Arabidopsis thaliana: one gene and its partners. The protein of the gene in region 4 interacts with the protein of the main gene of each other region in a pairwise test. Each region holds a gene or a part of one and is shown on either strand. Other genes may lie near its edges.

The links.
Region 1: the proteins of MYB105 (region 4) and AT1G72210 interact in a two-hybrid assay, tested with the Arabidopsis thaliana proteins (one large-scale study listed by BioGRID).
Region 2: the proteins of MYB105 (region 4) and AT3G19070 interact in a two-hybrid assay, tested with the Arabidopsis thaliana proteins (one large-scale study listed by BioGRID).
Region 3: the proteins of MYB105 (region 4) and AT1G17310 interact in a two-hybrid assay, tested with the Arabidopsis thaliana proteins (one large-scale study listed by BioGRID).

What each region holds. Positions count from the first base shown.
Region 1 is NC_003070.9:27,174,866-27,184,398, reverse strand, and holds AT1G72210 (basic helix-loop-helix (bHLH) DNA-binding superfamily protein), read right to left. Parts: upstream 4,942-9,533; 5' UTR 4,334-4,941; coding exon 3,866-4,333; intron 3,331-3,865; coding exon 2,932-3,330; coding exon of another isoform or gene 2,869-2,931; exon of another isoform or gene 2,227-2,868; coding exon 2,131-2,226; 3' UTR 1,943-2,130; downstream 1-1,942. Other genes in the region: AT1G72220 (RING/U-box superfamily protein), read left to right, coding at 1-11.
Region 2 is NC_003074.8:6,589,349-6,597,181, reverse strand, and holds AT3G19070 (Homeodomain-like superfamily protein), read right to left. Parts: upstream 3,410-7,833; coding exon 3,241-3,409; intron 3,161-3,240; coding exon 2,417-3,160; intron 2,333-2,416; coding exon 2,205-2,332; downstream 1-2,204. Other genes in the region: AT3G19080 (SWIB complex BAF60b domain-containing protein), read right to left, coding at 210-384, 464-566, 787-1,100; AT3G19055 (uncharacterized protein), read right to left, coding at 4,240-4,291, 4,408-4,480, 4,562-4,686, 4,775-4,866; POK2 (phragmoplast orienting kinesin 2), read right to left, coding at 7,076-7,207, 7,299-7,421, 7,524-7,760.
Region 3 is NC_003070.9:5,924,827-5,932,250, reverse strand, and holds AT1G17310 (MADS-box transcription factor family protein), read left to right. Parts: upstream 1-3,417; 5' UTR 3,418-3,550; coding exon 3,551-4,237; 3' UTR 4,238-4,326; downstream 4,327-7,424. Other genes in the region: AT1G17330 (Metal-dependent phosphohydrolase), read right to left, coding at 656-742, 822-994, 1,126-1,224, 1,351-1,448, 1,829-1,847, 1,940-1,970, 2,124-2,285; AT1G17300 (uncharacterized protein), read right to left, coding at 4,811-4,864, 4,961-5,347; AlaAT1 (alanine aminotransferas), read right to left, coding at 6,158-6,274, 6,367-6,570, 6,651-6,725, 6,836-6,990, 7,084-7,279, 7,375-7,424.
Region 4 is NC_003070.9:26,153,210-26,161,243, reverse strand, and holds MYB105 (myb domain protein 105), read right to left. Parts: upstream 3,543-8,034; 5' UTR 3,538-3,542; coding exon 3,066-3,537; intron 2,990-3,065; coding exon 2,621-2,989; intron 2,538-2,620; coding exon 2,338-2,537; 3' UTR 2,150-2,337; downstream 1-2,149. Other genes in the region: AT1G69550 (disease resistance protein (TIR-NBS-LRR class)), read left to right, coding at 7,870-8,034. UniProt on the Arabidopsis thaliana protein: Probable transcription factor that involved in boundary specification, meristem initiation and maintenance, and organ patterning. Functions in both lateral organ separation and axillary meristem formation.

The DNA of each region.
Region 1 (9,533 bases), 1.0 Mb from region 4:
TTCCGCTGTAGTAAAGCGTCTCTACGAAAAGCATTTTTTCGAATGTAAAAAGAGTAATGCACAAGTGTTCAATTATACCTAGCATGACTAATTCAAAAATCGGAAGACTTCATAGTTCATAGTTCATTCAAGCATGGTTAACTTAAAGATTCACATATAGTCCGTTTAATTAAAAGTCAAAATATACTTTTAAACCATTTCTTGCAAAAAAAAAAAAAAATTAAAGAAAGAAAAGGAGTTATGTATAAATAAAAAAGGAGTTATGGTAAATGAGAATATTATGTAGCAACAGAGGAAAATGTGGGCCCATAACTTTAATACAGAAAAGCCCAAATCCATAAATGGCCTAACATTTTAACCCAATCGGATACTTTAAACGGCGTCGTTTATCTATGAGGTTTAAAAACCTCCTATAAGGTATGGCGGCGAAAGTGATATATAGACATGAAAAAGCAATGGTGTTCAAATTTGTTTTTCACTTTTATGTGAAAACATTTATTCCATTAAGATCATATAAACTAGCGGTGGAGAAATATAAATATCCACTTCAATCACATCTAAAACCAAAAATTTACTAAAAGCAAAGTTAAGGAAAAGTTGATGATTCTAAGTCTCAATCATGAAAAAGATGCTAAAATCTAACAGTTAGCTATATAATAGAGGTCCTTGTTATTGATAAAAATAGAGGGAATAAAATTTTGATTTTGGTGTAATCACATCGATAGGCTTTACTTTTTACTTTTTCTGGCTTTAACCCTAAAAGTGAAAAAAAAACAGAGATTCGAAAGATCTTTGATATGTCTTCATGATAAGACAATCATCATCGTCTTCTTGCATGAATCCCATGTACTGCTGATTCAGTACGCCTCCAAGTTTTCAAGAAAAAAAAGCTCTACCTTTATTCAATCATTTTCTTAACTTCTTCTGTCTCTTAATTTGTTCGTATCTTTCTCGGATTATATAATCCCATATGTAAATATGGTGTGAATTTGGACTGTAAGTGGTGTTTTCATATGTTGATGCAAAACGATAATTTGAGACAACTTTGCTGACAATAATTGTTTTTGGATATAAGAGAAAAGAGGTCAATAATTCATCTACCAAGCTTTTCCAAATATGTAATATACCCCAAAATTTGACATTTAGTACTCGCATGGCTCCGTTGGTATATATTTATATAAAACTCCCTTTGTTTGTTTCGTAAATACATTTTCTCGAACAATATCAGTTTGAAAACTCAAGTGAGGCAGAAAATGTCAAAGTAGAATTATCGTTAAAGCGAATTCAACCCATTCGTTCAGTAAACAATCATGAGAAAGGTTGAAGTCATTTTTTCATGAGAAAGCATATACATATCACATTCATTCTTTTAATATATTCTCAGAATAATAATTATGAATAAGCTAAAGAGAATTTTCAATGTGTTTCTTTGGAAAGGGATCTCCCTTTTGCGAATGTGCAAATATAGTTTTAAACTATGTTTGCTTACCCAAAAACTAGTGGTGGATTGAGTCTGAAAAGTCTCTCCGATTAGAACTTAAGTGTTCTCCGACCCCAGACTAGATTATTATTTACGATCGTATATGTGGCCCTTTGCGGGTGTCTTAGATGTCATGGGTGTTCAAAACATCTGATTCAGACCATGAGAGTCTCATCAAACTTTTTTCTTAATTAGCGCATATTTAGACATTACTTCACAAAATATACTATTCTAACTAATTCCTTCTTAAACGAACCGTGCAAAGCCGGTTATTCACGATATACCGAGTCTTTTAGGGACGCCTTCACATGACTCATACCGGTATATTTATATAAGTGTGGTTGAATTTTTTTCAGCTATCTCATAACCAGTCAAATTGTTCAAGCCTTTTTTTTATGTGTGGGAAAATTCAATTGCTCAAGCTTATAATTACTATTCTCGTATAGAGCTCTTAAAAGCTAGTTCCTCTTTTGTGATCAGGTCTAAAAGGTCAATCACACAAAAACTCCAATATATAATGCATTAGAATTAACGTTAACAAAAAGAAAAAGGAAATTTATATTATTTAATATATGAAAAAGAGAGAGCAAAAGATCACACATGAAAAATTAGAGCTCCTCTAAATGTGCCATAACTAAAATTCAACAATACTAGCTAAAGGATGACTCTTCTTCGATCCTCCTTAGGATTTGATTCACAGCTGCTGCAATATCTTCTACTGTATTCAATTGGCTCCCTTCTTCAACCTGAATAAACCCATTATTTTAATATTTTCTTTTAAGTTACATGAAAAAGATTGATATATAGTCATTGAAAAGGTAAAAAGATGATTAAAGAAAATGTTTATATTTCGAGGAAGAAGCTTATGAATGTGTCCTGAAACAAGTGGCGTCATTTCGTTCTGCCGTGCACAGTGCATCCACAGTGTTGTGACCACCAAACATGCCCAGTACACATATATATATACACACATTCACACATGTGTAGGCATATGTCATCTTTTTGGTCCCTGATTCTTACAAGAATCAATATTATGATAGTACTCAAAATTTTGTCTTTTTTAATAAATAAGAAATGATGATTTTGACCCCCCAATAATTGAGGCCAGCCCTAACCAAGTAAAAAAGAACGAGAAAAAAGGAACGATTTTTATTTTTGTTCTTGGAAAACCTTTTTTGGCCCAGACAAATAATTCACAACATGTACTAATAAGAGACACATTAAATGCACAAAACATTTGTGATTGGAAAAACAATCAATGAATAATCATTGAACCAAAACCAACAATGGGAGTAATGATTAGTCACCCATTAATTATTAGATACCAATTTAATTTGAATTTGCAAATTCAACCCACTAACCCTAAACAACGGTATTATATAACATGATCACTCTAATCTGGTTAGGAAAAAAAAAACAAAAAATGGTGAAAAAGAGAGAAAAAAATGTACCTTGACGCTGATGGAATAGAGGACGGAGTCGTCTCGAGTTGTGACGTTTAGATGGAGAAGAGTGAGCCTTAGGCTCTGTATCGATGAGACCAGTTTAAGAAGCTGTCTCGGTCTCTTTTTCGCAAGTATTTTCAGACTCGCATGGCTCTCTACCATCGTTACCTCTATCTCCGCCATCCCCTCAGCCGCCGCCGCAGAGGTAGGCCGGTTCGAGTACTGAGGAAATGCAAAGAAATCCGAGAATGGTCCCGACGAACTAGCCGAGGTTGTTTTGGTCTGGTCGTGGCCGGCTCCGGTGTCTTCTGTGGCGGTCTTAACCGGAGGTTCCATTGATTGTAAATGATGCTCAAGCTCCTTTAAGTAGTTAATGGCTCCGCCTACTATCGATGCTTGATCTCCCTTTAACCACCACCAACCTTATGTTAGTCTAGCACATAGAAATTGCAAAAGGTTTTGCAAAAACAATCAAACATGTCTATATTTCGTACCTTAATTTTTTAAAAAATATATTATGTCACCATCTCATTATAAATCTATAATATGTATAGTCCTTTTTGGGTGCAATGATGTTCAAGACTTTATTTATGCTCCCACAATTCCACTAACAAAATTTTCATTTAGAGACTACATGATCTAATAAAATTATGAAAAAAAGAAATAACGACTTTCGTTTAGTTTTTATTTTTTGTCAATATATATAACGGCTTTCATTCATCTATCATCATTCTCAAATTTATATTTCAAAACATATAAACATACATGCATATGACATATCTATGTATAGCCTATGCATGTCCTAATTAGCTGAAAGCCTAGAACATAGGCTTTGCTTTTTTTTTTTTTTTTTGACACGTCAAGAAATACAGCTAAAGGACTGAATATTTCACGCGCTCACACTCACATATACATATAACTGTTGTATGTAGAGACTAACCCTTTGAGCATAATAAGGTGGCATGAGAGACCGGAGAACGGCGAGGTACTCGTTCATCTGTTTCCGGCGATTTCTTTCAACGGCGATGTGAGTCATCCTCTGGTTCTCGATCTCTTCTTTGTTCTTGCTACTCCTCGTCCTCCTCCTTTTCCTCCTCCCTCCTCCCGCCGCCACATCCGACGGTGGAGGCTGGCTCTCGGTGTCGACGGCAGATCCATAAGGAAGGTCTCGTGGCCATTGGAGATCCTCTTCGTTGTAATTATAATCATCACTATAATCTCCGGTTCTACCGTTGTAATTATTACTCGCAAAACCATGTCCTTGTCCTTGCCCTAGCTTAATGTTGTTCTTAGTATCTTGTGGATCTTGATCTTCTTCTTCTTGAAAGTATAAGTCGTAAAACGGAAAATCTTTGCAAGAGATGTAGGAGAACGGATCTTGCGGGTAAACTACAGCCTCCAAGGCCATAATTAGCTAGAAAATTGCTTGAAATATTAAAATTACACTTGAATATGAAAAGGTTTCCAGCGAGAGAGAAAAAGAGAGGAAAAAAAAAGAGGACAGAAAGTGTTTCTCTTTCTCTTTTTGTCTCGAGAGGGAGACAAGGCAAAAGGTAAAGACACTCTAGGGAAATTAAACTTGTAATTATCCCTCTACAAGAAAGAAAAAAAATCAACAGAAATTTGTTCTCAAAGAACTAAGTAAACTTGAAGAAGAAAAGACAAGAGAAGTACTCAAAAAAAGGTCAAACAAAGTTGTGGTTTGATCTATGGAATAGAGGAGAAGCTTGTGAGGTTATAAAGCTGATTTAACAATAGAAGGTCCGAAGAAAATCGAAACCAACTGAGTTCAGAAAAAGTAGAGATATAGAGAGAGAGAGATCGTGTATGTTTGGTTTTGCACGTGAGATTGTAGACCGGTCCACAAAACCAAAGAAAAGATTCTGTGTGTTTTTGCAGGCTTTGGGGTTCGTCTTGTTACACTCATGTTCGAAGAGAGAGAAATTATAACATGTTGAAATATCAACTTTATACGTTGCCATGAATTTAATATTTTTTTGCCGTATACCATGTGAGTCAAAATGTAATCTAATGAAAGCTATATCCCAAAATTTAGAGTGTTTGCGGTGATAATTATGTCGTCTATCCTCTTTTAGGTATTCAAACAATAATTTGCTTCTATTGTGCGTGTGTAACGCGTATTGATGGACAGGAAGAGGAAAGAGAGCTTGACATCAAAGTTTTTTTTTGTTTCTATGTATCAGCCGACGTCAAAGCTTTATAAATTCGAAATCTAAAGGCTTATTTATACGAGTATTTTTTCCCCGAACCATGCGGAGACAATGACCGCTGATTTATTCTTTTTATATGAAATCATATCGTTTATCACATAACCCTACCCGTAATGGAATAACCGTAAAAAAACATCAAGACCATGCATGGGTCCGAAAGCATATTGCCTTTATATAGATACAACTCTTGGAAATCACGATTTGTAGAGTAAAAAATAAATTTTAAATCAATAAATGTGCTTAATTAATTTTACAATCTATCAACTAGTTTTTGATTAGTAAATTTTGGCTTTTAAAGTAATAGAATCCTGATGACAACTTAGAGTAAATATTATAATTTCGTAGCAGTAACATTCGTTCAATAGTTTAAATTTTATATAGGAGAGAAATGTTGAGAGACAAAAAAAAAAGGAGAGAAATGTTGAGAAAATCATCTTCATCAATCATCATACATGATAAATGTTAATATATTAAATAAATAAATAAAAACAGAACAAAAATGTATTTTGAAGGAAATGAAATTTACTGTTAATGAATTTTCTAAAATAAACTTTTAGTTTGGGGCAAAGTGAATAATACTATAACTTGTTGGTCGTGCGATTGAATGCAATTACTCGGTGGTAAACTATTTTATACCGCCGAAAAATGGTTAATATATATATATATATATATATATATTGTCACAAAATTTATAGTAAAAAAAGAAATAATAGTAACAACAATATCATATAATTTGAAAATATGTGTTCTTTTTTTAAAACAAGATAATATTAGAAAACATTTAAAATATTAAGATTAGAAGACATTTAAAATATGTAAATTTGTCTTAAAAATATATTTTCAACTGTCTGGTTCCCATGTCTTTGATACTTAAAAACAACTGTTTAAAAAAAAAAAAAAAAAAAACTTACGTGGATATTGATTAAGAAACAGAAATTGAGAGATAAAAATTACTCGACTATGCAAGTTTCGAATGTTCGTAAAATGATGATGATCAAACCATATTCAACTCAAAAACCTGATCTTCCAATCTTGTACAAAAAGAATCCCTGATCTTCCAACTGATGATGGGAATTAAACACTCACATTTGCATTCAATCCACTTAGACGGACAAATTTGATCATAGAAAAAATTCACGGATAAAAATAAGAATAACATTTCGGCGTGTGGGGTAATGCTTTATTAATGTAATCATGTCATGCTTAAAACAAAGTATTCTTGATGTTGACATATGTAAGAATAAGAGACGATATCCCAACTTAATTTGTATATTAACTAGGTGGCATCTTTCCATTAGTCTAATTAATAATTATCGAACTTTTATGCGGTATAGAAGATGTGAGAATTAGATGGCTATGACACGACTTAGGGTTGCTGTGTAACAAAGTTGTTTGGTCGCTTTAACCAATAGAGGGAAGCAACAACTTAAATATGTGATGCAAAACGAAATCTAAGCGAAAAATCATTTGATCGAAACTCGAAAGAATCCCACTATTTAGAAACACGGTGGAAAATAAATCTAAGGCTATGATACTCTTGTCTCCTTTAAGTCCGTGTACCTCTAGTTTTTATTTGCGACATAAAAAGATACCATAATTTCAAAACCATCCAAGTAGTACTATAGTAGGCAAAAATAATATATAGTCCTAGGCTCCTAGCTAAATAATTTAGATATTTTTTTCAAGGATCGCCGAAGTTATAATTGATCAAACATAGAGATTGTTACAAGAATTAGTGCAAAGTTAGTTTGAAAACAAAAAGAATGTCAATGATTCAACAATAATAAAGAAGAAACATGTTACAATAGTATTTTCAGATAATTGGATCTCCTTCTAAAAATAGATCAATTAATCAAATATATATGGCTAAAGAAAAAAAATAATGATTTTATCAGTCCAATGTTTCAAAAACAATAACATATGTACTATAAAGATAGTCTTCCTTAATATTACTTAAACAATGTTATGAGAAAATAGTATAAGAATTATTTTCCCCTCATCTTCTTTTTCTAAATATCCAACTATTCAATATCGTTATATTAGTTACCATAAGTTAATTTAATAATTATAAAAATAATTTAGTAAATACAAATTCAATTACTAATTTAATACATTTTTAAATTTATGTTATAAGTTTATGAAGAGAAACATTTAGTTAGTTAAAAAAAATATTTTAGCATTTTTTTTAATGATTTTCAAGATACCAATTTGGTCGAAATTACACTATTTGATATGAAGAATATGCATTGAGCGGATTTAAAGTTTGGTATATCATAACTACACTAACACAATATACTACTTAATTATACTACATGTCTTGATTAATATCTGAGTAACACAACTGGTAAAATTTTGTCCCATCAAACTCATTATTATGCAACCACTAAGTATATTTTGAATATGAACTATTCTTAAGATTGTTTTCGCGACAATTCGATCTTTATCAAGTATCAACTTTATGCCATCTAATATAATGATCACTCCCGACATAATATTTTTATGCATAAACGGTTTACTGTTAACAACAGATGCACAGAGTTATCCACGTAAACGATCCAACAATGTAAGATCTAAAAGGGCCCTATGCGAAATCATGACACAATGACAATAAACCACCTAAAACCATTACATATATTCCATTTGTTTCTAAAATATTGATTTTCCATACATTTTTTAAATTATTTAATGCTAATAAATTACAAAATTTAAACAATAATCATTGAAAATATTTAAATTTATAAACTATTATAGGTCCAAATAAAATAGTATTTTTTGGTGAGAAAATAATGTATTTTAAATTAGTTTACATATATAGTGAGAGATTTGTCTTCCTACATGCATTGAATATTTCAATCGATTTATATACTGTATTATAAATTTTATTGTTTTAAATTTATTTTCAAAAATTTAATTAATTTGTGATGAATTTAACTAGATATAAGTATTATTAATTGATCAAGACATGACATAATTGTTTTTTGTGATGTCTTTGTGTCACAATCAGTTAAAGTAATTGTCGTTTTAGTATTTTCTTATACATTAAAAGTTAAAATATCTATTAACTATATATTGTTGGATTAAGTATCCTAAAACGACAAAAGCTTAGATCAATTTTTTCTTATATTATTTTCAACCAAACTTAAACTATTTTTTCTTTTCTCTTTTTGTTGTTCAAAAGCTTAGAACAATTCCTATTTACGTAATAAACTTCATTTATAAGAGTACCCTAAAATTTGTTACCATGTGTTGACAGTTCTATTGTTTTAGGTTCGAGTCCTACTAGTCCAGAATTACTCGGTTACTTACAATTTAGCATTATCGAATTGAAACAAAAATCAATTTACTTAATTATAATTAGAATTAAAGTATACTGAATCAATTTGAACTATAAAGTGATGCTTTAAAAATATCAAATCAATGCATCAATATAAGCTCTTTGTTTTTAACAAAATTAAATTTAGCTACTGTAAAAATAAATTGGGGGCGGGGGCAAAGAAGTAAAATTGAAACAACAATGAGAGGAGAGTGAGCCATGTGACCTCACAATGCTCTTCTTTTGTCTCTCTCTAATGATCTCAAGCATTGGCTTCTCTCTTTTCCCGAGAGGACTTCCCAATAACACAGTCCAAAGCGCTCTCTCTCTTTCTCTCTATTTCCGATCAAAAAGTTGAGTAGCTTTCTGCAGCAGTACCATTTCCAATGTCTTTGTTTCCCATTTACCTTTTATCTCATCCTTTGATCAAATCTTGATGAGTTATATCATTCTGTTATAAGTAAAATTTTAGTTCACATACATTAAAAATGAAAGCTAGTGTGAAAGTATTAGAAAGCATGAAAGAAAAAAATATATATCTAATTTTACTGGAATTATTGTAGTAAGATACTATACGGAAAAAGAAAAACAGAATACATACAAGTTTTTTTTTTTTTTTTTTTCTTGGACAAACATACAAGATTACAAGTTATCTAAAGTTCATGTAAATCGTCTTCTTTTTGTTTTGTCTTCAGTACATATAAATCGTCACCCGACAGCGTAAATATATTACACGTATTGAATACTCCAAATATCGTTTTCTATCGACTCAATAAAATTGAAATGTTCGATAATTACTCTAATTTCCAGCAAGACATTCCATACGTTTTTTTGGTTTTCTGATGATTTTAATATTTATATACAATTTCCATGCACTTTTTACACCAAGGACGAAGAGGTTTTTTCTTGGAGAATGTAATAATTTCTGTATGTGGAGATTATTTATTTATGCAATTTTATTTTATTTTTTGTTAAAGGGTTTATTTATGCAAATTTATCAGATCATCCTATCCAACTTGTTAAACTATGATTTAACCAAAAATAATCTAGGGTAACAGCGATCT
Region 2 (7,833 bases), on a different chromosome or scaffold from region 4:
AATTACACATGATCACTCTCTACAGTGGGGTACTTGATTTCAGACACATGATACAATGACTGACTGAACAGGAAGACTAGGGATATTTAGCTGATCTAGCTATTTAGGATCAATGACTGACTGAACAGGAAGACTAGGGATATATATACAGATATCATGCAGTCTCATGTGAAAGTTTTCTGAATTGTATAATGACAAGGAAGAATTACCATCTCCATCACCTAAGGGCCAAATATGCTTGGTTAATGCCTTGTTCATTTGAAACATATTAATGGTCTTAACACGGAACAAGGAATGCAACAACTCGTCACACACTATCTTCCTCCTATCCTTTGGGTCTTGCAAATCCTTCTCTCGGATATATGCCCACATTTTCTTCACAACCTGATAAATATACACAACACAAAAGACTAAAGTACAATTCCGCTTCGCAGAACAGTTGTCGGAAGAAGATGAAAATTACCTCGGTTCGACCTAACTGAGATGCTCCAACAACTTTCTCAAGTTGTGGAGATAACTGAGATACTTTGGTAATGCCACCACCTCGCTTCTTGGCCTTTACTGGCCTAACACATCAATGAACAATAATCCCTTAAACTTAAGTCATTAAACAAGTGGTCTTTGATTAGAAATGCATCGGAAGCATTTTGATTGGTTCGATTGAAAAATGCTAAAGATTCCTATAAATACTCAATCTTTGTGTGTGTGTATGATCACTGATTCATCGATATTTGAATTTCAAAAATCCAATTTCACATAAAGCACAATCATTACAAGAGTAATTACCGTTCTTCCTTCTCTTCCTCACTTCCACTTCCATCTCCGTCGAGGTCTTCTCCATCGCCTCCTTCAATTTCCGCCTTGATTTCGTCGGCATTAATGTATTCTTCTACCTTGGGACTCTCAGGTTTGTCTTCTACCGCGCCATTGCTCTCGAGAAAAGTATCGATTTGATCCCTAATATACGCTTTTTTATCTGTCAAGTCCACACCGAAATCCGCCTCCAACTGACGACGGACGCTTGCCGGAGTCGCCGTGTTCAGGTCGGAGCTACCGAGAATCTCACGGAGTCGGGTCACGAGGTCCAAGTCGGAAACCATTTTTTCCGTTACTGAAGAAAACAAAAATACGAAGCGGCTGATGAAAGCCAAAAACGATTCTTTGAGGTTGAAAATGAGAGAGGGCATTTATGGAATTTACAAATCGTAACCTCGTCGTTTTGCTACTTCAACCTTTTTCCTTAATTATTACTACGCCTTAGATGTGTTCGATTACGACCATAGTTAGAAACTTATGTAATTATGATTACTTCAACCTTTTTCCTCGAATTAGGTGTGCACCAAAAAAATAAAAAATGCCTAGGTGTTCCATTACAAGTTACGACCATAGTTAGAATATATTTATGATAAAAATTAACACCTTTATTGCATTTTTGGTTATCATTTGCTTGGAATAAAAAAAAGAGTTGGATATTTCTCTTCTAGAAGTAATAGTTTCATTTTAGACCAAAAAAAAAAAAGAACTAGAAGTTTCATCACCCAAATATTTATTTAAAGATTGTAGTTTTGAGCAACTCATAATAATCTTTCTTCCCTGAGGTCATATCTGCCTAAGAAGATTAGACCACAATATGAACAAACATGAAAAACTTTTGATTCAACGAATCTAAATGTCAAGACATACCCTTATGGGGGGAGAGAGGCTGAGACTTATCTGTCAAAATTAAGAAAAGAAGGAGAAGCTAAACAAATTTTTCTACAGCCTGCACCAGCAATGGTGGTCTCTCTTAAGGTCCCTTACAATATAAAAAAAAAAAAAATAATTAAAATGGAAGGGACACAGGAGAGAAGGGCTCCAAAAACCCTTATATAAGGGACCTGAAGATTAAATGTACATGTGTAGGTTTTTTAGTTGTCAAACTATGTTAAAAAATTAAAATATTATTATTTTTTGGTTTTTTAGGGACTGTCATCATCCCACCCATTGGGGTTGCTCTAATAGATTGTGATAAATGATCACTCATGCGTACAGTAAGAATGTTATTATGGTTAACTTTTTTTTTTTTAATAACTCCAACATTAACATAAATTCTATTATGATATAGTAATTGTTTGTAATATGCAAGATTAACAACAAAAGAAAAAGAAACGTTCTATACTATCACTCTTTCTATTTAATCCTATCTCTCATCTTCAATATTTTCTTCACTCCAAGGCTAATTTGTCTGCAATAGCCTTTTGACGATCCCGCAAGACTTGTAAGTGGCTACGGATCTGGTCACCAGTGAGACCCTCTTCAGAAATTAGTTCGTTTATGGCTTTGGGTGTTGCACCTGAAAAAAAAAAAAAAAATTAGGAAAATAGTTAGGAGTTGAAAGAATAAACAAAATAAATAAAAAAATTATAAAGTTGCATACTGAATAATCCCCCAAGTCTGACAACTGCGTCATCAAACACTAGTTGAAGCCTATTTGTCCACACCAAGTCTGGGTTTCGGATTGGGTTTGGGATTGGGTTAGGGTTAGGATTAGGGTTAGGGTTTGGGAATAGAGCAGGTAGGCCTGGAGAGATCTGTGGTATTGGGTTTATGAAATTTGGTATTGTTGGTTCTTGGGCCTGCGGACGGAGAAACGGGTTAACAAACGGTGACGGAGAGGAGGATAAAGGTGACGGAAAGATGTTACTAAGCCGTGCTCGCTTAGATGATGATGATTCGGGTGGCTGAATAGAGGATGATGGTGACGACGGAAAGAATTCCCTCAAAGATGGTCGATCAGACGAATCGGGAGGTCGAACAGAGTATGGCATTGACGACGGAAAGAACGAAGATGTTGCGAGAGTTGAAGATGAAGATGGCTGATGAGAGTATGACACTGACGACGTAAAGAATTCCCTCAAAGATGCGGGTGGTTGAAGAGAGGAGGATGACATCGACGGTGGTTGAAGAGACGGTGACGATGATGTTGCGAGAGTTGAAGATGACGGTGGTTGATGAGAGTATGACACTGATGACCGAAAGAAGTCTATCAACGGTGCGGGTGGTTGAAGAGAGGATGATGACGATGGTGCGAGAGTTGACGATGACGGTGGTTGAAGAGAGGAGGATGACATCGATGGTGGTGGAAGAAAGTTCTGACGGAGATCCATAAGTAGAGCAATTTCTGCGTTTCCAAGACCCAACAAGATTTGAGAATGAGAGAGGAACAACTTTAAATTACAAGGTGAAGGAGAAGAAATTAACCTGCTTCTCTCGCGGTACTCCGATCTTGAATTATCTTCGCCGCATCTTCATCTTCATCTTCTTTCGTCTCTTCATCCAACTTTTTTAAATGCTCATCTATCTTCACGATTTTCTGAGAATGTGATTCAATAGAACTTAGCTCTTCAAGAAACTCATCAAGATTAGTCATGGCTTGCAACTTAAGAAATTTGATTCATCACGTTCTATATATATATAGGAGGAATAATTTGCAGATGGAATCACAAATTTACCCTCTCTAGAGAGAGCAAAAATACCCATACTGTTGAGAATTACTAAAAACCCACATGTTATGATGTTAACGCAGATATCAATATAAATGTTTGCTCTAGCAATCCAAGGAAGTGAGCTTTATGAAAATCGAATTCAGGCGTACAGAGAACTGATTACTTTCTTGGAAATACATGTTTCCAATAATTATACATCATGCTGCATGCGTGTGATTTTTCTTATTTTCTCCATTACTTTGCTAACTCTAAAATGGTCTCAAGTTACTTTGCTCTCAACTTTTAAAGCTATCAACTCCAGTATAAAATAAATTAATAAATATTATACAACTTAAGGTTATGTAACATACCAAGCAATTAGGACGTACATTAATTGGTATATTTCTCCTGATTTCATATTTGTAGCCTAACTAATAAAACTGCAATTATTTTATATTAAAAACAGCGTACACGGTACATCAATGCAGTTTCTAGCTTCGTGCATGGTGAAAGTTGTTTTTGCGGCCGATCTGATTTTCATAAAAAAAAAAAAAAGGATTTTCCACTATGAATCGGTTGCTACAAGCCTACAACTTTTCTTCTTAATATATGAAGCATTTATAATAATAAAAATAGGTACATGCAGATCAGATGATAAGATGTCCCATATATATAGATAATACCCTAGCTAGGTCGGGTTGATGTTGAAGAAAAAACAAAACCCAATTAACCGCGTTTATTGCATGTAGCATGAAGTTTATGTGATCATCAGTTCTCATAGATCCTCGTCAGCCTTCCTCTTCCTCATCTCCCCGAGTAGAGTTTGCCTTAAACTATTAAAGTAAAAGTAATCATTAAACGGTTGATAATGATCATAATTAATCATCTAAGTCGTCAATATCATTAAAAATTTCTCTAAAAAGTCGTCAATTGTTAAACTTACTTTTCTAAAACCTTACGCGCCTCCGCTCTTTTTATGGAGCGAATCCTAGCCCTCTCTTCGACAATCGCCTTGGCTACACGAATATGAAACACATAAAGATAAAAAAGGAGAATAAAATAGAAAGAATGATCAAATAGATACTCTGAATAAATACCTATCTTTAGATAGGCCACCTCCTCCTTAAGTTGTGCAACATATTCATCAATTCTGGATATTATTTCCGGAAATGATTCGATTTTTGAGATTTCTTGCTCGAACTCATTACAATCCTTCCAGCTCCTGGGGATTGAAAGCAAAGGGAAGCTTGGGAGAGAAGAAAGGATTTTAAATCAGAGTGGAAAAAACACATTAAAAACCTAGAAATTACCTCTTCTTAAAGTATCCTGGACGAGGATGACGAATTAAGAATAAATGTGAACGGGCCTGTCGGATTTCAAATGTGTAATGCGAGTGCACCATCTTGAGAACGAGATCTGTCGTCTCTCTATTATAGTCTTCTTCTCTTTTGCAACAAAGTTTACTTTTGTCGTTGAATTTAATGATAGGGATAAGATCAATAATATCAGTGTTATTTAAAAATACAAAGATTGTATTTATTGGAGTACTAGGATCTTTAGTAAAATCTAAACAAACTATAATTTAGATTTCAATACTGAAATTCTAAACAGAGTTTATATATTTTAAAGAAGCATTTAATGTATATATTTGTTTCCTTCGATAATTCTTAAAAACATTTAGAGAAAACGAAAATTGAACGCCATAACTATTAGTGATGATCATGATCACTGCTGAACTCTACTAGAGACGATACACTACAATGTAAAAACTGATGGATGATATTTATAAGTTAACACAACATTTTATTGGTTTTAGGATCAGAGAAGAATTTGAGAAAGCATGATCAATGATGTTCATTCCGATCGCCTCACTTTATTCTTCCATATACACAAAAAATTACACAATGTGTGTGTTTGATTTTTTCTTTGTTTTTCGTTGCTTTAATCATATATAGATTTTTCCGTCCAACTTTGTCTTTTTTGAGCTTTTGTGCTTTTTGTCTCTAATAATCTGAATTACTCTAAACGAATCTTTCTTTATTTTTTCATAACTGAAAAATTGCATATGATAAAATTAATGCAAATCACTATTTTTTTTCTTAAATAAAACTTGATCAAGTAAAAAAAACATAAATCCGGTTTAAACCCTTGTTTGATCCTCACATCTTGTTCAGGAGTTGAGTCTCCATTAATAATGACCTATATAAAATAGCAAAAGTAATCATTAATATATATATACCAATGTAGCTAGTATAAGAAACAGTCTATTGATGTAAAATCAGTTGTTAGACTTATTTTCTCATCGCTTCCATATTCCTAAGTACCTCGGTGGTAATCCTCTCATCCTCGTCGATATTCCTACGCTCCTCCATGGTTCTCATTTGTAACTCCGTTATCATCCTAGACACATTGGCAATGACTGCAAAATAAAATAAAAAAATAGACATGATTCTCATGCAATAGAAAGAATTGATCAAATAGAGATATCAAAAAATATATAAATTTTTACCTGCATCTCTTTTCATCTGCTTCACTTCGAGTTCCTGAATTCGTTCGTCAATTCTGGATATTTGTTCTGAAACTGATTCGAGTTTGAAGACTTCTTCGAGAAATTCAAAACAATTCTTCCTCCTTGGGATTGAATGTGAAGGGTGGCTTGGAGGAGAAGCAAGTGTTCTAGAATATTATTGGAAGGATAATTAATAATCAAAAACACAATAAAAGAAATTTTAAAAATGAAAATACTACTAGACATATATAATACCTCGTGTAGGGTGAGTAAAATCTTGGACGAGGACGAGGATGACGAATTGGGAACAATTCTAAACTATACGAATGCACCATCTTGAAGGACGAGATCTATCGTCTCTCTACTCTCTCTTTTTCACCAAACACAAACCCTACTTTTGTTTGTATATTCATAAGGTTAACATTTGTCTTTGTAGAGAAATTTGTTTGATAAAATTTTGAAGAGAAAATCAAAATATATATATTTAATTTGTTTTGTAGAGAAAATCAAAATCAAAATGTAAATATTTGTTTTATTTCGCCAACAAGAAGATCTCCCGATCCTAAATCATAGCGCCACCGTTTTGATTTTTCGTTGTTGGATAAAAACATGTTAATAACTATATCTAACTTAAACACTCGATTATTATATTGAATTTATTTTTTTTCCTAAGGAAAAATCCCTAAGCAAAGTGTATAATCTAAGGGGAAAAAAACGAATAAAAGAAATTAAGCACCACAGTTTTTATTAGCTTAGCAGTAAAAAAATTGTTGATGGATTGGCATGATGTTCCCAAATCAACAATGTTTCAAAATCAAGACTCCATTCTTTAAACTATCAGCCTCTCCGATAGTTTAAAGGAGGACCTGCGTGGTTGCATCATCGTGTTGAATTTGTGCTCTGTTTCTGAATGTTTCCTTTTGTTATGCTGGCTTTTGATTTGTACTCTTGTTAGTAATTGAAGAAGAAGAAGAAGAAGTGCTCGTAATATATGTTTCGTTGAATTGTTTATAAAAATTATTTACTAATCACGCATAACAGTTACATGAAACATTCATAAATATACACTGACTGATTGTTCTCATACAAACATACCGTTCTTTCACCTGTCTAAAGAAGAGAAAAAAGGAACCTGAGACATACTTCTTGGACTCTGACTCCATGATCTTCGAGGAGAAGGCATTGAAGGCATCTTTCTCTCAGGATTCCTACTTCTTCTGCTCTTTGCTTTTCCCTGCATCATGATTTTTTTCAATCATCTCTTAATACTTATTTTGGGATAAGCTACAGGGATTGAAGCTTCAAATGGAACTATATCTTCTTACCTTTAACCTAAAGTGGTGTACTTCACTTTCAAGTAAACCAAGTTTTGTCTTGAGCTGTTCAAGTGCCTCTTCAGCAACTTCAGGGTTTATGTCTGTAAAGTCTTCTCCTGTTACACCTGCTGCCTGAGGGAAATTTCAGTCCACAAAAAGATGTTTAGAATTCTATTATGTTGACGTACGTTTTGGAGTTTATTTACAGTGAAAAACTATGACTGTTCCTCTTACCTTTAGGATACTGGTGCAGAGACTTAATAGCTCCTGAGCAAGCTGCATTCTATCCTCTTCGGTTTCCTTCAGTTTGGTACTTAACTGATGCGTCTTGTCAAAATTTGAATGCGGGTTCTTTACAGAAGATGCTCGGTAAAAAGCAAGCTCTTCTTTGGCACGAGAAACACTCACATCTGCTCTCCGTAACTTCAAATTGAGCTCATCTAGCTGAAGTTTCAACACATTGTTTTCTTCCTGTTGCATATGACACCAAAGAAAATAAGTATCAGAATAAAAAAGAGTAATTAAATAAATACACAGAGAAGTT
Region 3 (7,424 bases), about 20 Mb from region 4:
ACGAACGAAAACTATTATCTAGGTATCAAAAGACAAACAAATGTCACTAATACTAAATTTTCGTCATTATACGTTTTTAAATCACGTCAGTTTGGTATAAGAATATACATATTCTGATATTCAAACCAGGTAAATGTTATATTATGGCCGACCGAAGATAGCCTCGCAATGACTTGATCCACTAAAACATCCAGAAGACATCTTATCATCTTCCACTAATAAAATTTAAAGAAGACTTAAAAACGAAAATAGCAAGTCAATATTTAAACCAGTTGACAAACAAAAAGCCACTGGACTTTATAAAACCCTTTACGAAAAAGACAACAACTGACTTTGGCGTAAAAAAAAAAATTATGAAAAGAAAACGATTGGCTCTATCGTGTAATCCTTGCTTGATTTCTTCCACAATCATTGGCATTGACAAAATAATAGAGTTTTCTTTTTTTAAAAACAAAGCAATTTTAACATTTATAAATGTATAGTTATTACGAGCTATTTAAATAGAGTTGCCTTAAACAAAAAATAAAAAGAGAGAGAGAGTTGCCACTCTGTTTAAAACCTAAACCACATATTGGTTTGGTAGGTACTGCTTACTCAATAAAATCCGGTTGAACAAATCCTCTGCTTTTCTGCTTCATTTATCATTTTTAACTTTTCAAGTTGACCCATCCCACTCTTCATAGAACTCCTTAAGATACTCTTCCATGAACTTGTGCCTTTTCTCTGCCCTCCTTTTACCCGCCTGATATGTTTTCAATCCACATTAAATCTCAAATCGAAACAAATTTTTCGCGTCAAAATAGAGTTGCGGTTAAACTTACCTCAGTTTTCATCAGCTTCTTTAGCTTGAGGAGTTTCTCATGAAAGTGATTAATAGTAGTTTGCTCCTCTCTCTTAATGTACTGCTCTTTGGTTAGCTCTGTCCGGGGCTTGATCTCAGGATCATGAAGCACTCTGTTCCTGCTTCCACCAAATGTAAAGCAACGAGCAATTCCTATAACAGAAAGAGATCAACAACAACTAATAGCACAAATTCCATAACATAGAGAATTTTCACATGACATCAAAGCAGATATTTGGCAATGACATATCAAAAGCAACTAAAGAAAAGAGACGTATTCTTACCTATGGCGCCAATTGCATCAAGGCGATCAGCATCTTGAACTACCCCAAATTCTGGAAGAGACTCACAGAGTGCTACTCCTGCTAATTCGTCTTTAAAACCTGGAAAGAATACACTTGTTCTGTTCACAAATTTATATACAACAGAATGACTTAATTGTAGTGATAAATCATGTACATTATAGTTGATTGGATATGTTGAGTAAAAAGTAGGAGCTGGAAACTGACCCATTCCATTGATGATCGTTAGTATCTTCGTCTTCTTGGTCTCTTCTATACCCTCATCATCTAGGAAATTCTCAACAAGTTTCTCTTCCGAAGGGTCTCTGAATTCCGGTTATAATTATTTTTGCCATGAAGCAACATATCAGCGGAAGGAAAGCAATCTTCAGCATTCATAGTTAAGTAGTTTTTATGTTTATATCCACACCAAGTTCCACTTAGTAGAGCCTAGCAATCCTAAGGTAAGCAAATCTGACAAGGAATTCTCACAAGCTTTACCTAATGGCATTCGCAAACAAAACACTTCCAAGTTTCTTTATTCATCCAGTTTAGATAAAACAAAGTTAAAAGCAGGGAACTTAGAGAGTTTCATGAGAAAAGTAAACACTTTTGTTTCCTGGAAGTGTGATCAAGAATGTTGGAAGGGACATTACTAGTCTATACTCAAGCGGTTCAAAAGAAAAGAAAACTTAGAGAAACAAACCTTATGTACTTGTAATCACCTGATAAGAGAGAGGGCAAGAGATACGAATTATGATCAACCTGTGGACTAGAACCACATTACTAAAACAGAAATGAAAATAAAACCAAGTACCTATATCATGGAGAAGAGCTGCAAGCTCCACCTGCAAAGTATCAACAGAAATGGTTCACTCTAAAGTAAAAGAGCTGAAATTTGACAATAAACAGCTATAGCTAACTAGAAGAACTAACTAGAAGAAGGTTCATCAGGCTCAGCTGAACTAGAACTTTGAGATTTAGGGATTTTTCAAACTCACAATTTCCATGGAGTCAGAATTGGAAGAGAGACCTTCCTCGCGAGCAATGGAGAGAGCAAGGTCTCGGACCCTCCACACGTGCCAGGCGTCATGAGAAGCATCGTTTCCTTTCATCGCCTTCTCCACCAGCTCCTCCGCCTTCCTCATCGTCTTCGCCGCCATCTATCTCTCTCTCTCTCTCAACTGCTCAGTTTCGAAGATTGGAGAGATTTTGATTTTGCAATTTCAGCGTCGGAAGCTCTGTTTTAAAATTGATTCAAGTTTGCCGTCTCGGCTCGACGTTGACCACCGGAGTCAAAGAGAAATTCGGGGAAGGAATTTACTCATTTTACCTTTTTACCCTTACGTATGAAAGAATTTATTTATTTATGTTTTTTTAAAAAATATTTAAATTTACAGAGATATTTTCACATATTATTGTAGATTAAACTACACAAACTTTGCCACTTTCTGTTAATTATTTTAAAAATCTCTGTACTGATTGTTATAGAAAACCTATTCTTTACATTAATCGCTGGCTATATAGTACTGATTTGTCAAGTTGAAAGGTCGATTTATATAAACTTATGACTTTTGGATACATTTTTCAAAACAAATTTGATCCATTGAAATGGAGATTGTCTTTGGTGTTTTCCCTAGTAAGATTTCAAGGTTTATCTTTGTCCCCGAACCTTTTCAATTGCATTGGTTATGAAGTGGTTTATCTGCTTTGGTGTTTATAAATATTCGGGATTTTAGTTGTTTCTAGAGAGGTAGTTCAATAATTGATTATTTTCCAAGTTTCTGTTCTTAAACTCTTTTTTTTTTTTTTTTTTTTTTTGTTCTATGGAATAGATTGTAATCAAGTAACAAGGATGTCATCAAATCACTTCTTGGCCACGAATGAGATACTTAATTAATTTGAATATGTGATCAATTTGTCACTTAGACATTTTACCGTGATATTTGGAATTCTTAAATATCATATGTGTAATTTGAATATGTGATCACTTCTTGGCAAGAAGACGTCATATACTCATATGTTTTTCTTCTGCTTGGCATGACATAATTGTTCTACATGCTACGTTTGTATATGTGTACGTGATAGTAAAAAGAGATTCGTGTATATTTAGGTAGACTATGCATATATTATATAAATATAATGTGTATCACAAATTCACAATCGATTATTCAATAAACGACTAAAATGGAAAGTAGTATCTCGGATTTTATATTATTTCTATAACTTTTGTATAAGACAACACATGTCTTACATTTTTACGAGAAGCTATCTTTGATTCATTGAATCATTCCGAAAAATATTAATTAATTGGAGGTGCATTTAATACAACATTCCATAAACGTACGAAGAAAAGTAAGACAAATTAATTCCTTTATTATTACATAATCATGAACGACTATAAATCCCTCGACCAAGGAAAAACCTAATGATATTTTCATCTCTCCCCTCTCGGTTAGTCATGAAAGATTTGTTCATGGAAGGAGAAAGAGAAACTTCATCGATGACTTGCTTGACGCCCAAGGATTCTGTTCAAAGCCCTAACATGTTGGTTAGACAACCAAAAAAGGAGACAACAACACAAACCCCTAAAACGACACGAGGAAGACAGAAGATAGAGATCAAGAAAATCGAGGAAGAGACCAAGAGACAAGTAACGTTCTCGAAACGCCGTCGTGGGCTGTTCAAGAAATCCGCTGAATTGAGCGTTCTCACGGGCGCAAAAATCGCCGTCATAACGTTCTCTAAATGCGATAGGATCTACAGATTTGGCCATGTAGACGCATTGATAGACAAGTATCTTCGTAAGAGTCCGGTGAAGTTGGAGGGATATTCCGGTGATAACGCGGCGGATGAGGAAAGTAGGAGACCGTGGTGGGAGCGTCCGGTGGAGAGTGTGCCAGAAGAGGAGCTTGAGGAGTACATGGCAGCATTGAGTATGTTGAGAGAAAATATAGGGAAAAAGATTGTGGCGATGGGTAACGATCGGACGGTTGATATGGTTCCGGCATGGCCAATCAATGTGATGGGATGGAAACCAACGATGGATATGCAAAAATTGGAAAATCTGACGGATGGGGTTAATCGATGCCGTGTAGGTCAAAACGGTGATTGATTAGTCCAGTCGTGAAGTATTCCTCTAATGAATTTCTAAAATATTTTATTTAGTTTTGTTAAGTTTAATTATATGATTTTATGCTATTGATCATCAGATTGTTTCATCTCTTGTATACTTCATACTTTGGAAATTCAGTTGTTTGGATTTTTAATCTTTGAACCATACATATTACATAATGTAGAACAGTATTCTATCAGTTAAACCAGCTTTCAATTTTTTTTAAGATTTGACCTGCACATGTACCATATTTATATACCACATGAAGTATTTTTGGCAGATTGAAACTGCATTTTCTCTTGGTCGTTTTCTTATTTTATGTAAGGCGTACAAGAAAAAGCAAATAACGAAGGAAACAAGTGATTCTTACAATTAAGAACAAACGGGAAAGGTTGGAATGCTGGTTCCTTAAAACAAGGAAACCAAGTCACTCTTATTTATTTGCACGACACAAATTGACACAGAATAATAACATAGACTAAGTCTTAGCTTAATCCCTAAACATGCAATTAGGTTTTCTCTTTCACGTGTTTGACCAGCCGACTCTCTCAGGCCTCAACACATCCAGTCTCATCATTGACCAATGTTGATAATTTCTCCACGGACAGCATACTCATATTTGAGAACCTGTGTGATCATTTATATCCCCACAAATAAAAATCAGAAGCAGTCAAGAAACGTTTTAAGACATCAGTCTCTAGAGTGGAGTCAAGAAAAACCGACCTTGGTATTGATGGAGTCAAGAGTTACGGGAAGAGAGGAAGAGGAATCAGAAGCAGAGATATCGGAAGAAGAAGCAGACAAGTGACGCGATGAAGAAGCAGGAGTAGGAGTAGGGACTCTTCGGAAGCTATCTTTTTCTCCTCTAACTGATGCTTTCTCCTGATCCTTGTCAATCTGTATAGGGTTTGAGCCACCCCTTGGGATTCTTCTTAAGCTATCTTTTTCTCCCTTAAGTGGCTCTTTCTTCATCTCCTTGCTTACATGCAAATCTCTCGCAGCTTGACTCGAATGTGTCATCGTTAACAAAGAACGGCCCTCTACACTATACTTGCTGCTAAAGAAAGCTACAAGTAACAGAACCAGAGCCACTGAACAGTATCTCTTCATTGTGATTTCTCTTCTTGTAAATCCGTTAGGATTCTTGAAAGCTCGTATCTTATTCTTGTGACAGTAACTGAGACAATCTTGGATAGAGATATGAGTTAGATAACTAGAGACTTCTAAAGCGTGTTGCTTTATAGACCAAGATTTGTGTGTGTTTGAAGAAATAGTTATTGGGATCTAATTACGTGATCTTACTTTGACTGCTGCTATAATAATCAGATTTTGAGTCACTTACCTTATCATTTACTGATGATGATATTACTCAGCAGCATCTACATTATCATATGTACAGTACACATTACCTAACTCATGTGCATGCTTTGAAGTTTAAGAGATGGTGGCCATGTGAATAGAGAACGTGACTACTGTCTACATTTTACTAAGGGAATTTGGAGGTATTAGCGTAATTCTCCAATTTCAGAAAGAATAAATTGCAGGTAACAGCTGTTTTGTCTCTCAACTAATCACTACTTTTCTCCACAATCTTTAATCTTATGCAGTTATTTATATTTTCAAACGAAAATGATTCTGTGAAATCGAAACTTTGAACATGGAATTCAACAATGGTTCAATCTTGTGTTTTCTTGATGAGATTACATTTTGACTAACCGTTTATAAGAAACTCTCTCAATTTATATTACGGTTTTTCACTATAAAGAGAACAGAACAAAAAGTGAATAAGAAAGAGAGCACTAACTAATGCTCTCACATCTTAGCTTCTGTAAACACAAAGTCGATGAAAAAGAAACGGCATGGGACCTTTTTCTTATTATTACTCATATAATCTATAGAGGGATCTTGAAAACAGAATGCTTAGTCGCGGAACTCGTCCATGAAGCTCTGGTGGAACGCAGTTAGACGATCAACAATCGCTGGAATCTTATCCTCTTGGGGAAGTATAGTGCACCTGAAATGCCATGTTCCAGGTACCTACATCAAACCGAACAAAGACATAATCAATATCAGCAAGTGAGGTTTTAGTTTTGGTTCTTTGGAGAAAAAGCTATTTCTTTTTTTCAAACCTGTCTAAAGCCAGAACCAGGGACAACGACTATTCCAGTAGCTTTTAGAAGGCGTTTGCAGTAGAAATTGTCTGGTGCTGTCTTTTCCGCCTCAGCAGCTGCAATTGCCTTTTGTGGAAGGTGAAGGCAAGGGAATAGATACATAGCTCCTTCTGCTCTATTGCATGTAACTCCCTCTAGCTTGTTCAGAGCCTCTTCAAGAGTCTGCAAGGTTAGAGTTCAAACACTTTAAGAACAGAAAGTTCTAATCTTGAATATTCCTAGTTGTCTATTAAATGGCTAACCTTTGCACGTCTTGCCAAAGATGAGAGAATTCCATCCTTCTCTGCTATGTATGATTCATAGGAGTCGTCACCAGGCTGATCAAATTTAATAAAAGCTATTAAGGTCAATTATCGATGTGCAAGTCCAAGCCAACAGGTGGAAACTGAATCAATTGTGATGATAAAGTCATATAGATGTTTTATACCTTGGGTGGGCTCATGATGAGGCTAGCAAGAATTTGACCAGAGATGTTGGAACAAAGATTCACAGAAGCCATTTTGTATATCTGCTCTCTTACATCAGAAGTGAATCCAGTAACCTCCATGTAACCACCTCTTTTCCCACACTCTCCATAGTACCCTGTCAGAAATAATGAATTCAGTTTTCTGACTAGTTTCCCATCGCAATGATCAGAATTATCAATTGACTAAGAGATTTGTTTTTGTATCAAACCTTTGGAGACAGATTGGAAAGAGACTAAGGCAAGATCCTTCTCACCGTAGCCCATAGAGCGGGCTACTTTCTTGAAGGAATGGAACTTTTTGTCAGGGACATAGACATTCTCTTGATAAACCTCGTCTGCTAAAAGAACTAAACCCTCTTGCTTGCAGAACTTAACAACGTCACGCTGGTTTTCTTCCGAAAGAACCTTTTACCAGAACAAAGCAGAGGTCAAATTTAGACGAAACTATGAAATTCACATCGGTATAAATTTGTGAGTTTTAGTCTTGAAGATTAATTTACCTGCCCTGTCGGGTTTCCAGGGTTAATGACAGCCAAAGCTCTCACAGTGA
Region 4 (8,034 bases):
TTTTTCTAAAAAGCAATTATTCTTTTTTTTCCAATGTCTTTTTCCATTCTTTTTGCACCTTCACTAATCTTTTATACTACTCATTTTGATTATTACTTGATATGTTGTAATGTTTCTACTTATTAGTATGGATACTTAGCTTGTTGCTCTATACCTATTTTTATAACCATGTAATTCCAAGATTTGGATCATAATCATTTGAGATTTGACACCAATCTTTGTTAATACTTTCGAGTCTTCCATGATCATGAAACGTAAATATAATGTCCTTTCAAATGAGACTTAAATGCAGATTACAAAACTTTAAAACAACAAAAATATTACTTGTTAAACTGTCAGCATTTAAATCTTTCGATTGTCTAATAATTTAATAGAATTATAGCATATCACATTTTGAGAGGCAACCCAAGTTCATGTTATATAGTTGATCTCATATACTATTCTTCCACAAAAAGTAAATAAATGTTTTATTTGTTTTTGAGCTCTACAAATATGTGAAAATTAAAGGTCCATAAAGACTGGTTCTTTTAGCTGCACAAAAAGCTTAAAATCCAGTTACGTTTAAAGAATAAGCAGGGAGGCTACGCATGTTCTTTTCCCAAACCGGAAGACTGTTCTAAGTTGTTGGTGAGTTCTCATTTTTAACAATGGATACCGAAGGAACACAAAAGTTTGAGGTGCTCGAGTGGAGAGAAAGAATAAAGAATAGAAATGTACTTGGAGAGCAAATACTTAAAACCATACGCAACATCGGTAGCTCAAACATATAGAAGGGTTTTGGAAAATTCGTTACCAAGGTCTAGTCATCATAAAAATTGCAAATGATTTATTAACTGGAATCATTATTATCATACGACTAAAGACTAAAGTTATGAAATAGATTTCTTAAATGTGAAAGAAAGGAATAAAGTTAGGTAGACTTTGTAGGAGGCCACTCAGCTTTCACCTGGACCATACGTATATGTTCTCGTAAAGTAGTTCAGCTTTTTTAAGGAAACAAACAGAAAAAATTGTTTTCTTTTTGAATAATAAAAGAAAAAGAAAAAGTCATGAATATTTAATTATTGGATTACATAAGGAACTACATTAACATGAATGTTCCTTTGATAGAGGTTTTGGTTTGATATTTACTTCAACACTTATCTGTTTTCGACGTTTTGATTTAAATTTTAATCAACCAATATATACGTTATTGCTTTTCACTTATCGTTTTAAGAACATCTAATAAATTAGAAACAAAATTGAGATATTCATTCTATATTGGTACTCTCTCGCTCGAGAAATTGAATCACATCGGTTAACATAAAAAAAGAAAAAGTTGAAACACTTCCAAACAAAACTGAAATTGGGTCCGAGAATGGGCCTAAGCCTGGAATAGCAATAGATTTTAAGTGGTGCACATTGCACACTCCTTACCGTTTTATCCTTTTCTTGTGGATCTTATGGAACCTTAAAAAAAAACAATTAACAACGGGAAGTGTTTAGTGAAAAACGGTATTACATAAATTTAATCTTAATTTCATAAATCAATCAATTATTTCGATTTAGTCATAGAAATGTGTTAAGCTGGACTAAAACTACAATGACGTATACAAATAGTATCATGATACAAATCAAATGATTATTACAATGAACAATAACTAGGAGAAGGGGCCATGTGGGTGACATGAGGTCGATGAGACGCATAAGTAAGGGGCAATGAAATGAAAATATGTTTTTGCTTTGGAGAGAATAAAAAAATGCAATGGGTGTGAGAATATTAAAGAGTGGATGTTTGGACTTTCTGTTGCAGAATCTGTGCCTGAATCTTGCAACCTCATCAATATCGCATGTTGTTATTAAACTTCTGCATACTCCAAATAAATACAATGTAGTACATTATTCCTTTTAATTTGACTTCTCTATCGTTCTTTGTCGTTTCTTATATCCACATCATCGTCCCTGTTTTAACATATGTCACCTTCCTCTTCATATACGAAGCATGTTGTTACTCTCACTCCATACAATTTTTGGACATTAATGACGGAATCTGACATTTTCATATAAGATAAGAGTTAGTTAGAACTATAAAGTGGTACAAATGTTTTACACTTCAAATCAATTTTGGTAAAGGTGAGACAATTTGGCATCTACATAAATGAAAGCATTGATTTTAACCAACGAGTGGTATATATGTACGTGCTAATTAACACGGGGTAAGGAATGTTGCATGTGACTAAGGACAACAACATTTAATCTACAATTATTAACGCAACATAACTACATCGACAAGGACTCAAATCATCTCATAACTTTTGTTAACTAACTCAAGCCAGTCTTGTTCATGATCGATGATGATCACACCGTCCCCAACCCAAGAAAATCGAAAAATGGTGGTTTCTTCTCCTCATTGATTCTTTCAAATATCTCACTCTTCCCGGTTTGGTTTAAGAAATCGAATGTAGTTGCCTCTTGTGTCCATGCAATGTAATCGCCAACCATCATTTGGGTTTCGAACATATCCACCATTAATGGACTCTCATTTTCATGATCATAACCTAAATAGTACAAAAAATGGAAGAAAATTAAGAAATGATATGGAATTAAAAACTGAAAGAAAAGAGAACACAAAAACTCAAACCTGGGAAGCAAGGAACTGGTAACATAAGCTGCTTATGGTCACTACTAGCAAGGTGGGTCAAAGCTAACCGGGTAGGGTCAAAATCATTGAAAATGTGAGGATTAGGGTTAATGAGTGGCTTAAGAGAAACCATCGTCTTCCTCCTACGGTAAGAAGAAGATTGTTCCCTAAACTTGCGAGCCATTATAACATGCCAATGGTTCTTCACAGAATTATCAGTCCTACCAGGGAAAAGCCTCGCTATCATCGCCCATTTGTTACCATAAAGCCTATGAGCTTGCATTAGCCTCTCTTCTTCTTCCTCAGTGAAGGCTCTTCTATTTATCCTTGGGTCTAGTTGGTTAAACCATCGAAGCCTACAGCTTTTCCCTGCTCAACATTAACACCCAAAATCTCAAGAACGTGAATCTTGTAAAAGCTTAATCAAGTGACAGAATTAACGTACCGGATCTTCCTTGGAGCTTCTCAGCTATGAGGTTCCAGTTTTGTGGACCGTAGACGGCGACTAGTTCTTTGAGCTTAGTATCTTCAGCTGGTCTCCAATGTCCTCTAGACACCGAAGCTTTTGACGAGTGTCCACAGCTTCTATAGACTGTTGTGTCTTTCTTGTTGCAATTACTGTAATCACTTAGATTAGGGTTCATGTCTTCTTCTCTATGACTTGTGTAGTAGCTACGGAGATGTTGAGCATTGTCGATATTTAAAGAGAAGTAGTCCGATGAAGTGGTCTGATCCATCGAATGGTGTTGATCTTCCGACATGATACAATGTTGTTGTTGGTTATAGTGATGATGTGAGGACGAAGACAAAGAAGACGGGAAGCAAGGTGTTATGGAGAGAGACGCCACGTCAGCATGCACCATCTCCATCCTCATTGGAGGAGAAGAGCAAATATTAAATATGACTTTGAACATCATAATTGATATTTGTGTGATATTATTACGTATGGCTCTAAGCTATGTGCGTGTATGTATATGTTGTGACCTTGTTTTCTGACAAAATGCTGTTATACAACTGTTAAAAGGTTCATGGACTGTCACGGACTGATTTGAAAGCTGATATATATTTCTATACATTTGTATTTATGCATTGTAAATTGTTTTCAACACTCAGTTTAATTTACATTCTAGATATTTTAATTTAGGATTATTGTATAAATAGTATTATTATCTCTGGTTTAAGTTATAACCAAATAGCTATAATCTACATTTACAATAAAATCCAATAACATTTTCACAATAATTGTCACTACTTAATTTTGAAAAAACTAGGAATGTGGAAACGTATAGAGATGAAAGAAATAAATAAAAATGCTAGGACAGAGAAAGAGTAAAGGACAGGGAACACGTTTCCTACGTTGTGAGCAGTGGAGATGTGTTTGGAAAAGTGGAGAGAGATGAAAAGTTGTTAAACATCCGTAAACATCTTTTTTTTTAGTTCAACTGCTTTTGTTCTTTGTTGCCCCAAACAAAACATCATATTATTCTACGATTGCTTGCCAAACAAAATCTTGGTATTATCTTGTTTGAATTTCGAACTATGAATATGATCTTCTTCTTTTTCTTTTTTGTTCAAGTAACAAGGCGATTTCACCCCAAGTTTTAACTATTTTCCGCTTGATACATATGAATTAAGCGTTAGGTATTCTTGTCATTTAATACATTCATAGTGGTCACTGCTCATGCATTATCAAAGTTTTGAATTCTATCTCACAACCAATTTGAATTAACCACTAAACCATCACAAATTGGTTGTTTATTTGTTTTTCCTTTACAAAGAAACCTACAATTTACAGAATCTTTTTTTTTTAAAAAAATAATTAATGATTTTGTTGTTGTTGTTGGTTGCTACCGAAAATTGGAAATAGTAATGAGGATGAAACTAAACATCTGAAGTAGTCCCAACTATAACAGCCAAAAAGGCTCAAAGCATACATTTGATTTGACTCTTGCGTCTTTTATTTTCTAACCACAATTATATCTCTCACGCACACTTCACATGTCTTTTCACCAATCCCCATTTATCTCTCACTCTCGACATTTTGATGGTTTATATGAAACCCTCTTTCTACGTACATAGCCGGTCTCTTCATAATGTGAATGTTAATGATCTTCCCAAACGAGTCCGTTTTTCATATAGTCTTGACTACTTGTTGCCATATCAATTCTACCATTTACTGATTTTAAAATTAACTATCCAACCATATGTCGCAGAATTCGCTGTTATAAATCATTTTTTTAAGGGATCGGCTAGACTTATTAAGTTATTATCGTTAGAATTTCTGTCGCAATATGAATATTCATAACACCATAATGCAATTTTAAAAAAGAATGTAAAGTATTTCTTTTTTTATTATTAATTAATTGTGCAGCTATAAATGCATATACGAAACATATATTATCCCATATATACAAAGGAAATACCTAGGTTTGGTGAGACTTTAAGCATAACGTAGATGTATTTATTTGACCAAAAAGATATCAATTGGCAGAGGAATACATTATCTCAGATTCAGAGTATTTGCTGCAGACTTGTACGGTCCATCTGCAGAGATTAACTCAACATTTCCTATGGTCCTTTTTTCTTGGTCAATAACTTTGAATATATACTTTCTTAATTTACACTAAATTTGTGTCATACAGTAGATGTGAGAATGGATAGTTACTTTTTCAAAGATACGCACTAACAAAGTAACACTAACCATTAGCAGGTTAATTAAGGATATCTACACCCAACCCAATTACCTTCACTTTTATTTTGTTATCATTTGAAAAGAAAAAAAAGTATATGTTATCTACTTATTTAAGTTAACAAGTATTTTTTATTTTATTTTTACAAGTTTTCGGGGTTCGTTTATAAAAAGCCATTAAAAAAAGGTGTTGATTTTTTTGGTGACGTCTGTTTCAATAACTGTAGGGGATAGAATTATTAGAATTGAATTTTCAGTTTTAAATGTGGAACATATACAATATATAATGTCGGGAAAGGAAACAGATTCAGAAATTAATGCATAGGATCCAATTCATATCAACAGAGAAATGTTTTGCGAGTCTACTGTGGTTCATTTTCAAATATGCGACACCACGAACTGATTTTATAGCGTACCATGTTCCATCAATTCAACAACACGTACGTGCATGCTCTGCTCCTCATTTTACTATACCTAAACACACGCACATTGCTCAATTATACATCGATCATTTCGGAGCACATAGTGACATAGCCAACATAGGCAATAGCTAGTTTAATAGACTAGCTTTGGGTCTTACTAGGCACAAAGCCTCATCAAAATATAATACGGAGATTTTAAAAAACAAAACTATGGAATTATTCTACAAACTTCATAGACTAGTTTAGAGTTCCCAAATTCCATAGGTTACAAAAGTGTCTTGTAAGTTTTTATACTTAAAGTTAAGAGTTTTCAACTAGCTTTCGCTAAAATCGAGTTTAGTACGTTTCATTTGATTGGATTCAACCTGCTTTTGGTTTAGGATGATTTCGAACCGACCGAAAAAACTATACAACATGGTGGATTGGACATTAAAACAGGAAAACAAGTGATGATCGCATAAATGAACAAGAGACTGAAACAGGAGGATTTTTTTAAAAACAATGTGGACATGTACACGAAGAAGACTCACTGTTCTTAGAGTCAACAAAAACCTCATGATGTGAAAGCTAACCAAATAGTAACAATCTCTCAAATATGGGAAACGAATTCCCTAAATATAATGACCTGTCTATTATCATAGCCCCATTGCTCTATTTTGGGAAATTTTATAACCTTTTTCTCCTCAAATCATCACCAACACAACCAACAAAAAATGTAAAACCGTACCTTCAATCAACACTATAGATGTTGTGGCCTCATTCATTACATTCAAATACAGAACTACGTATATGAGTTGTCACGTAAAGGAGCAAGAAATTTTAGCCTTCTTTAAAGTTTTCACCTAGATTATACATTTTTTTGCAACATTTTTTTCAACCTGGTCTAGAGAGGTTATAATTTTTACCGACAACATTCCAAAGTTTCAGTATTCGATCGGCAATAGATATTTGCATGAAATTGTGAATAAATTGTTGGAATAAGCAAGCTGATAATCCGTACCAAAAATTGAAGAAGCATAAGGAGAATAAGTTTAAGCAAAGAGGCTGAGCAAAGTCCTTCAATGAGACTAATTTTCTTTCTTATTAATTTAAACAATATTAATTAATTACCATTATTAGTTTCTTTCATTTTAAACACAAAAATTAATTCTAATTTTACTAATTAATTTCTCTGTGATATTTATGTATTGCTTTTCAAATATTCAAGTAATGTTTTATATTATAAATTAAATTCAAGTACTGTTTTATATTATTATGTAAATTGAAAATACAAAAAATAATATAACTAGACTAATTTGGTAATTTGGTTTTCTAACCACACTCAAATCGCATCGAAATCAATTTGTCATTCAAATATGATGTACTCTCATCGCAAATAAGAAAAAATACATTACGGCACACATTACACATAAAAGCCCATAATGTTACACTTTGATAAATAAATCCTAGTGTCTATTATTGGGTTATTTTGGGCCTAAAAGCATACATTACACATTAAAAGCCCATAGTGTTTATCATCATCCTCATCGTTGCTGCTTCTCTCCTTCCTCTTCCGCAATTGATTTTCTCTACAAATTCCTTCAGCGCTGCAACCAACAGAAGCGACGTAATCCTCATCGTAGGTTCCCGAATAGACTCCAGCGTGATCAACGACTCCGATCCGCTTCTAAAATGTATTTCAGTTTTCATCAATTGTTTATACGAGAAGAAGAGAACGAACAAGATTCTACGAACCGGTTCAGATTCCGGTTCTCATCCACAATGGTAAACCGGTTCGCCACATTCTGGATTGATTTCATCGAAACCAATGTACCAAAATCCAAAACCCCTCCTTTTGTTATACTTTTTTTCATTAAAAGGCTTAGCATAATTAGATAGTCCATTAATTATACAAGCCCATTGAGCCCATAACGTATTAATCTGATCTATATACATTATATTTTTTTCTCAATTCCTTGTCGACCACACAAAAGTAAACATCCGTGAAGCTTGCTATTGACTTACTGTAGCGTTGAGTCAATGGAGTCAAGATAATGTGTTCAATAATGTATCACAAATCCATCTTTGTTCATTCATCCTTCGTATAGCTTTGCTGAGAAGTAAAAAATCTCTGTTGATCTTGATCCTCTCTCAGTCTTATGCTAATGGATTCTTCTTTTTTCCTTACCATTGTTGCTGCTGCTTTTGCAATAGGCTTCTTCATCTTTCTTAGAAAGTTGAGAATCCATCAAGAAAACGAAGATGTGGGTTCTTCTTCTACATCTCCTCCATCGTCTTTGGCGTCTTCAACATCTCCTCCATCT